Alligator mississippiensis: one gene and its partner. The protein of the gene in region 2 interacts with the protein of the main gene of each other region in a pairwise test. Links are inferred from orthologs where the notes say so. Each region holds a gene or a part of one and is shown on either strand. Other genes may lie near its edges.

Region 1 (3,746 bases), on a different chromosome or scaffold from region 2:
AAAAAAAAAAAAAAAAATCTAGTTGGTCTAATAAAAGATATTGCCTCTAGCACACTGACTGCTTGTTTTTGTACACCAACGCGGCTACAACCTATTGTGCGGGCCGGGAGCGGTCTGAGACCCTTGGGGGCACGCGGTGGGCTGTGGCCAGCAGCCTGGCATGTGGGTCGGGGAATGCAGGCCGGCGGACTAGAATTAGGCAAGGACGTGTAGCGGTTGATTAAAGATTATTTTACTTACACCGTAGATGGTTGCGGTGCAGGCAGGAGAAAACTTCGCTTAAGTTGCAGTTACAAAACTCGTACGAACAAGACCCGTAGACAAACTCGAGCCTCTTGAAATAACTCGGAAAGAGCTCTGGATACACACACGCAAAGTTTTCTAGGCTCCGTGGAACGAGCGCACAGGGAAGGGTACATCGAGGGATTAGGCGGTGACAGGGGGAGGCTAGAGATTGATCAGGCCCCTATATCCTTCTTAAGGCACACGCTGGGTTTGTTAGGCTCTGCAGCGCTTAGAGTTCTTCACAAGATGTGAACTCGTCCTCATCCTCCTCCAGATGGTTGTGAAGTCCTCCAACTTGGGCAGAAACCGCTCAAGCCACGTAGGAATAATTTAGAAACAGCCAATAGTGGGGAACAAATTTGCATGCAGGTGGCAGGAACTCCTTTGCACCGGGGTTTTCTCTTTGCAACTGAGAATTGCACCCTGCAAAGAAAGCTCCTCGTGGCGGGAAATAATTCTGCAGTGCTGAAGCACACACAAAATCATACCCTTGGGTTATGACACCTGTATCCACCAGAGCCTCAATATTTTGCTTTTTTCTGTAGTTGCTTATAGTCTGAGGGGTCTTTTGGCGGAGACTATTTTTCCATAAGCCTTCGTGGCTCATATTTGCTGGGTGACTGGAAAAAAGCAAGTGCTGTCTGGATGGTAGCTCCTCTCCCTTTCTGTGTTTGTGGGGTATGGATCAGAAAATACTTTTTTTTTTTTTTTTAAAACATATAGATAGATACAGCATCTAGGATAAGCTTTTCTTCACACACCTTAAACCATATTTAAAGCCTAGCACCTGTTACAATAAACACACCCACACACAGTCCTTTCCCTAATCCAGTTGCAGTCTCTTAGTCCTAGCCTCAATTTTGCGGTTTACAGTCTCAGTTCATTCACTGTCGTTGTCACTGCTGCTGTTCTATGGATGAGGACAGATGCACAGGCTGCAGAGAAATGAGGGGTAGATACCCCCAGGAGGCGGTAGCTTCCCTTTTAAGATGGCCTGTGCTTGGGTGGGCGGATTGCAGGGTGGGGGTGTCTCACAAGCAGGAGGAGCCAGAGAAGCAGTCCAGTTTTCTGCTTATGTTGTGCTTCAGCTCGAGGAAGAGAAGCTGTGATCAGGCTCTGCAAGAGCAGCAGCTCCATCTCACGCTCTGATTTATCAGGCCACAGCGTCCAGGCAGCTTTGCTTGCAGAAATTTTCAGCCATGGGAGTGGAAGGCTGTACCAAGTGCATCAAATATCTGCTGTTTGTCTTCAATTTTATCTTCTGGGTGAGTGCATTTGCTTGGGGTGCAGTTTTGCATGTGATTTAATGGCTGGGGAAAACGAAAAGGGAGTGGGGGTGGGGGGGGGGTAGAGAAGGAAAGGAAGGTGAATGTTATGTTTCAGCTTGCTCTCTCCTGCTCCTGGCTGGTGTCAGATTGCCACCAAAATAATGCAGCAGGCTCAGAAAGGAGCTGACTTTCCCATCCTCTGCAGGAGAGAGGCACAGAGCTTTCTTCTTTTTCCCTAGCAGCTCTGGGGGATGAGACCTGGGGAGGGAACAGCAGCAACCTTTAAGTGGAGAAGATGGAGGGGGGAGGGAAGATTGGCTCACCCCAAAAATGGGTGTTGCATTGATAACAGAGCCTAGCTTGCTCAGAAAACCAAAGCTGGGAACTATCTCTTCCCATCCCCCTCCCCAAAACCACTGCTACAATAATTGATTACAATAATTGAGTCAATTTGTACCACCCCCCTCTTTCTTTTGAAATGGCAAATGTGTTTGGTTTGCTGCGTGTGCAGATGGTCTTCAAACTTAATAAACCACCTGTGAGCTGCACTGGGAAAAAACAATGCTTGGGAGACAGCCTACTTGTTTGTCTGCTAGGTTGATGGGGCATGCCTCTGTGTTCAGTATACAGGTCTGCAGCCATATAATAATCGAGATTTAAGACACTTGGAAAGGTTTTATTTTTTTTAGCTCTGTGGTATGTGTTTTGGTTTTGTTTGTGCCTCCCCTTGGGTTCTAACTGATTGAAAGTTGAGACTCATTAATTGCCAAAATATATGAAAATGTAATGGAGGCCAGGGCTTTGGAGTTGAAAGTTGATCTTTCCTGGTCTTTCTGTCATGTCAAGAGAAAATGAGAACTGTGTCCTTTAAAGAGAAAATGCCAACTGTGTTCTACGTATACAGGCTTTTATATTCAAGGCCACTTGATTTTTGCCAAACTTTTTTAATACAGGCAGCAAATTTGGATCTGGACAATGCATGTAAATGGCTCGAAGTGATGAGAAATGGAGCTCCTAAAAATATGTTTAACCAGTGGTAGGATTGTTCTGTGTTTTGAAAGATGGGTGGAGTGAGAGATTGCAGCCTCTACATGGGAAGTGACAGTCTGTTGCTGTGGTTGAGGTTGCTATAGCTTGCTGCTTTGGAGATGTCGTTCTTGGAGGCTCTCAGATGTCACCCTTTCCTGCCGTCTGCCTCTTATGTGGAGAACAGTTTTCAGCCTGGAGGGTGGGGGTTAAAACTTGCTTGGTGGCTAAAGTAGGCGGATGATGGTGTCTCAAAAGAATTGGCCACTCCGAGCTACTTCCCACACTCCTCCCACCTATCCCTCCCTCCCTGCCTGGAGAATTTTGCAGGGACCACACCCCACTGCTCAGAAAAAGTCTTTGCCTCATCTGCAGGTTCAAGAGGGGTTTGGGTTTGTTGGGTTTTTAAGTCATATTCTGTAGTCAGTGCAAGTTGGGAAATATTCTTTCCTACTATTTGGAAACAAGCTGTCTTCCCTGTGTCTGTCCAGAAAGGGCATCCCAGAGGGCTCCAGCAATTAGGGGGGAGAATAGTCAATATACACAGCTTTGTTAATTCAGCAATTGGTCACATCCTTGCATTTCTCATGTGCGAACGTTTATAGATATGTAACCAGGATAAGTGTTACTGCCTAACTTATGATGAGCCACCCCCGCTTCTGGGAGAAATAATAGGAATTGGGGGTGGGGGGGAGAATGTCTTTTGTTCAATTTAGCTGTTTATTTTTCATATGTTTTTCCTCCCCCTGAGATTGCTGGGGAAGCTCTTGTAGCTAGCTATCATTACTGAAAAACAGTGGAAGCTGTTGCGGTCTTGTTGTAGGTTGGCAGTTCAGATAACACACAATTCTTGCACCTTTGCCAGAATGAGATAGTTGCTTAATACTTTCTTGACTGTGGCCCCTGGTTTTAGAGTTAATGTTTTCCGAATGTTTATGAACACATGGCTATGTCTGACCCTTCAGTCTACTTTTTAATCTGAGGTCACAGCACATCTGGGTGCTGATCGGACACTGCAGAGTGGCACCATTTGAGAGATGCAGTTTTACATTAGTTAGCAGGGTGATTTAAAAAAAAAACAAACCCAAAAAAATACCCTGTGGATTCCCATTTTCACTGAGTTCTGCAACAGTGTTCCTTATTAGCAACTAGAAAGAGCAGTGGTGA
Region 2 (3,746 bases):
CTAGCAGCCTCTGAAGCTGCTTGCAGGTGGCACAGGGGTGAATGAGAGACTCACCCGAGTGGAGGGTTCAGGCTGGAGCTGCATAGGTCCACAGCCTGAGCCGAATAGACAGTCTGTCCCTGGCAGCAGGGCTGCTGAAGGGACTGGAGTTGATATAAACAACCCTGCAGGCCTAGGAGCTGGTGGCCATTGTTTTATTCTGAACCTACAGAGGGTCCTTGACCCTGGAGGAGGGGCTGCATGTGAGACCAGAGGTCCCGGAGCCTGGAGGAGGGGCTGCGTGCAGGACCAGGGGGGTCTGAAGGCCCAAGGGGCTGAGTGTATAACTAAACAACACCAGAGAGAGAACACCTGCTTGGCTTGGGGCATAGTGTAGAGGAGGAAGGGAGCCACGCAATGAGCCCTTAAGTTGACAGGTGCCCGGCAGAGATGTGGACAGGCCAAGGGGGCCCACTGGCTCGAGGGTTCAGGACAGGGACTGAGGGGCCCGGCCCTGATCGGCACGGGCTCAGGCACACTCAAAGCCCACCGGCAGCCTCCCTTATACAGTGTTCAATAGGAGCAAGGCGCAGTGGGTCGGTAATCCAGGGGAAGGGCTGCAGGGCGCCAGAGAGGGGCCGCGCGGCCACCTCACGCCTGCCCCATGGCCACAGGCTGGCCGCACTGTCACCAGGGGGTGGTGAAGCACTGGCCGGCGCGGGGCCAGAGGCGGCGGCATCTTCATCCCCGGGGTGTTGAAGACGCGGATGGCCAAAGCCGTGGCCGGGCTGAGGGGGGCGGTCCTGCGCTCCCCGCGCCCGCGCCCGGCCGGACCCCGCGCTTCCAAAAGGGTCTTTGGCATCTTGGAGCGTCGGGGAGGTTCTAAGAGCCCTGAGGGCGGGGCGGGGGCGAGCCCGGCCGGGAGGTCACAGCTCTGCCCCGCCCGCAGCCCCGCGGCGGAGCCTCCTCCGGGCGGGGCGGGCCCGGGCTCCCCCGCAGCCCCCGCCCGCCTGGCTACAAAAGGCAGCGGCCGCCCGAGTTCAGCCCAACTCCGCAGCCCCGCCCCGCGCAGAACAGCCGGCTCTGGCCCCGCGCTCCGGTCCTATGAGGCAGGTGAGTGAGCGGGAGTCTCTCCGGCGGGTGGCGCGGTGACACCTGAGACCCAGGCGGGGGCAGGGACCTTGTTCTGCTGCTCATCCCCCTCCCGCAGCCAGGGCTGTGGTCCGGGGATCCTCAACTGGGGGTACCCTGTGACACTTGGGGAGCCCTGGTTGTGCTTGCCCTGCCCTGCCGTGCCCGGGGAGCGGGTGGCATCCACACAACTGCTGGTGCTGGGCTGGCGGATCTGCAGTGCTCAACTGAATGGGCAGTGCCCAGGCCGTCTGCAGGTGGGATCTGGCTAGTGGCTCCCTGGAGCGGGGCGAGGGGCAGCCTGACCCTGCTCCAGCCGTGCAGAGGTTGGCTGTGGGGCAGAGGGGCTGTATTAATGGTCCCCGCTGCCCAATTTCTCAACCCGCACCACAGACCAGGTGCCTTGCCTCTGTGGCTGCTGTTGCCCCACAGGCCAGGGGCTGAGCAGCTCTGCTGTAACCCAAGAGTGAGGGAGATGTGAGAGCTGGCACTTGCTGTGGGTGGCCACCAGCCTGGTGAGTCCAAAACTGGAAAAAAAAAAAAAAAAGGTGGGGAACCGCTGCTGGAGCCTGGCTTGACTGCCTTGGCCAGGTGAGCTGGGCTGGAGGCTACAAGGGCAAGTGCTGCAGCTGAGGGCTGACAGGGAGGTGCTGGGGACTGAGCCCAAGTGAAGACCCTGTCCAAGCCATAGGGTTGGAGAGGGCTGATCCTGCCTAGACTGGATGACCTCTGGAGATGCCTTCCAGCCCTGCTTCTCTGTGATCCTGGCTGTTGACAAGTGGCAACTCCCAGGCAAGCCAGGGAGGTCCCTGTGGAAACCTGTGGCACTCCAAGTCGCAGTGGGGAAGTCCAGCCTTTGTGGCTGAGGACCTGATTCAGTGCTGCCTTGCCCTGACCTGTCTAGCACTGCTTCTGGCAGCAAGCAAGGTGAAGCGAGGGAGGCTCTGTTCAGTTTCCCAGCTGCTAAGAAGCCTGTGGGCAGCGGGGAAACAGAAATTGCCTCAGTCTGGGTTTCCTGGAACAGCTCCGAGCAGCCGGGGGAGCTAGGCACTGTGATGGTGCAGCCCCTGCACTGCCCCTCTGCTGTGGCAGCCCTGGCAGTGAGGCGCTGTAGCTGAATAGGATGTGGCATAGGAAGCAAGAGCAGCAGATGAAGCTGGAGCGCAGGGGATAGTGGGCAAGGAAGAGAAGTGGGTTGCATGTTTGGAGGGGCTCTGGAGGGAGGATAAGAGAAGCCAGAAAGAGCCATTCTGTCGACTCTATGACAGAACGAGGATGTGCTGGTAGTAGGAACAGCAAGGAAAGCGGGGGGAGGGGGGGGTGAAGGAGTGTTGTGGAATAAGCAGTAGGATTTGGAGAAAGGCTGTAGGGCCAGGAGAGGAAGCAAAGATGAGGTTAGGAGCTTCAGCAAGGGATGGGAAGGTGGTGGTGACAACTGGAAAACTACCATAAGGAGAGAGGACTTGTGGAAGGGTGATAGTCCATATGATTTCAGTAGCTGCCAAAATCAAATGTGCAGCTGCTCTCAAAGCAGAAGGGGAATCTCTGCACAAAATGGTCCCCCTGTCATCCATCCGGGTAGATGGTCTTGCCTGCTTTTTAAAATGTCATGGTTAAATGTTTGACACTTAATACAAAGGCTTATGACCTTCTGCTGTAATCCAGTTTTTGGAGCACCTGGACTCCTTTCAAGTTGAGGATGCTGTTTTGGTTACCACCAGTACATGGTAATGGAGAAGGACACTTAGCAAGTTACTTTATTTGCTTGCAGACATGGGGAACTTGGTTTGTCAGAGGGCAAGACAGCTTGTGGTCAGGATGTATATGCTAGAGAAGTAAAATGAAGTCAGCCTGAGTCCTTTGTGGCGGTCGGGTGGCTATCGGAGCTATGGCCAGTAGCCCAAAACGGCAGGTGGATACTTATGACTGATGAAGCGGATTTAGTTAAGAGCTGCCCATGGCCAATGAGTAATGCGCATGGTCAGTCAATGATGAGGAATCGTTGGGCGGGACTCTCTGTTGTGTGGGGATTTTCCACTGTGCCAAAGGCATTCAGCTACTAGGTTCTGACATCCTTCAGGGTAGGTTTGAACACACACACTTGGGTAGCAAGTGAGATTTTTTTTTTTCTTTCCTTTTTACTTGCTTTCACTGCCATTTAGCTGTAATTTCAATAGTATTTTATCTGTCAAATTGTGAGCATTAAAGGCCCTACATGGCCTCTCCTTGGGACAATGAAGAGATTCTTTTTCTTTAGATTAGTCCATGTCTAAATGTACAGATCTATGGGGCTTTCACCATAGTCTTCAGCAGACTGTCCAGCCACTTAAGGTCTTGCTGCTGGGAGCTAGTCTTGACATTCAGTTCACATGTCCCCCACTTCCATTACTCCTGTTCAGTTAAAATACTGCTTAGGGGCTGAAAATAACCCTGTGTGACTCTGGGTGTTGTGCAGCCACAGAGTAGATTGAATAGTCCTTGCATTGGAGTGCTTTTACTCTCAATAGGCTAGATGGGCAAGGGGTGAGGAAATGGTTAGCCCCTGTGCCACCTGGTTATGCTGCTCCGGTACAGTGAGCCAAGTGATGGTGAGAAATGCCCTGTTCATGATAAAACTTATTTTAAAAACTTTTTGT

Evidence for each region. The genes of interacting proteins can lie anywhere in the genome.
Region 1: the proteins of GLP1R (region 2) and CD81 interact in a protein complementation assay, tested with the Homo sapiens proteins (2 studies listed by BioGRID). The link is inferred for Alligator mississippiensis from reciprocal best matches to the Homo sapiens genes GLP1R and CD81.

Annotation. Positions count from the first base shown.
Region 1 is NC_081825.1:188,709,270-188,713,015, forward strand, and holds the start of CD81 (CD81 antigen), read left to right. Parts: upstream 1-1,343; 5' UTR 1,344-1,484; coding exon 1,485-1,550; intron 1,551-3,746. UniProt on the Homo sapiens protein: Structural component of specialized membrane microdomains known as tetraspanin-enriched microdomains (TERMs), which act as platforms for receptor clustering and signaling.
Region 2 is NC_081824.1:171,750,150-171,753,895, forward strand, and holds the start of GLP1R (glucagon-like peptide 1 receptor), read left to right. Parts: upstream 1-1,022; 5' UTR 1,023-1,083; coding exon 1,084-1,092; intron 1,093-3,746.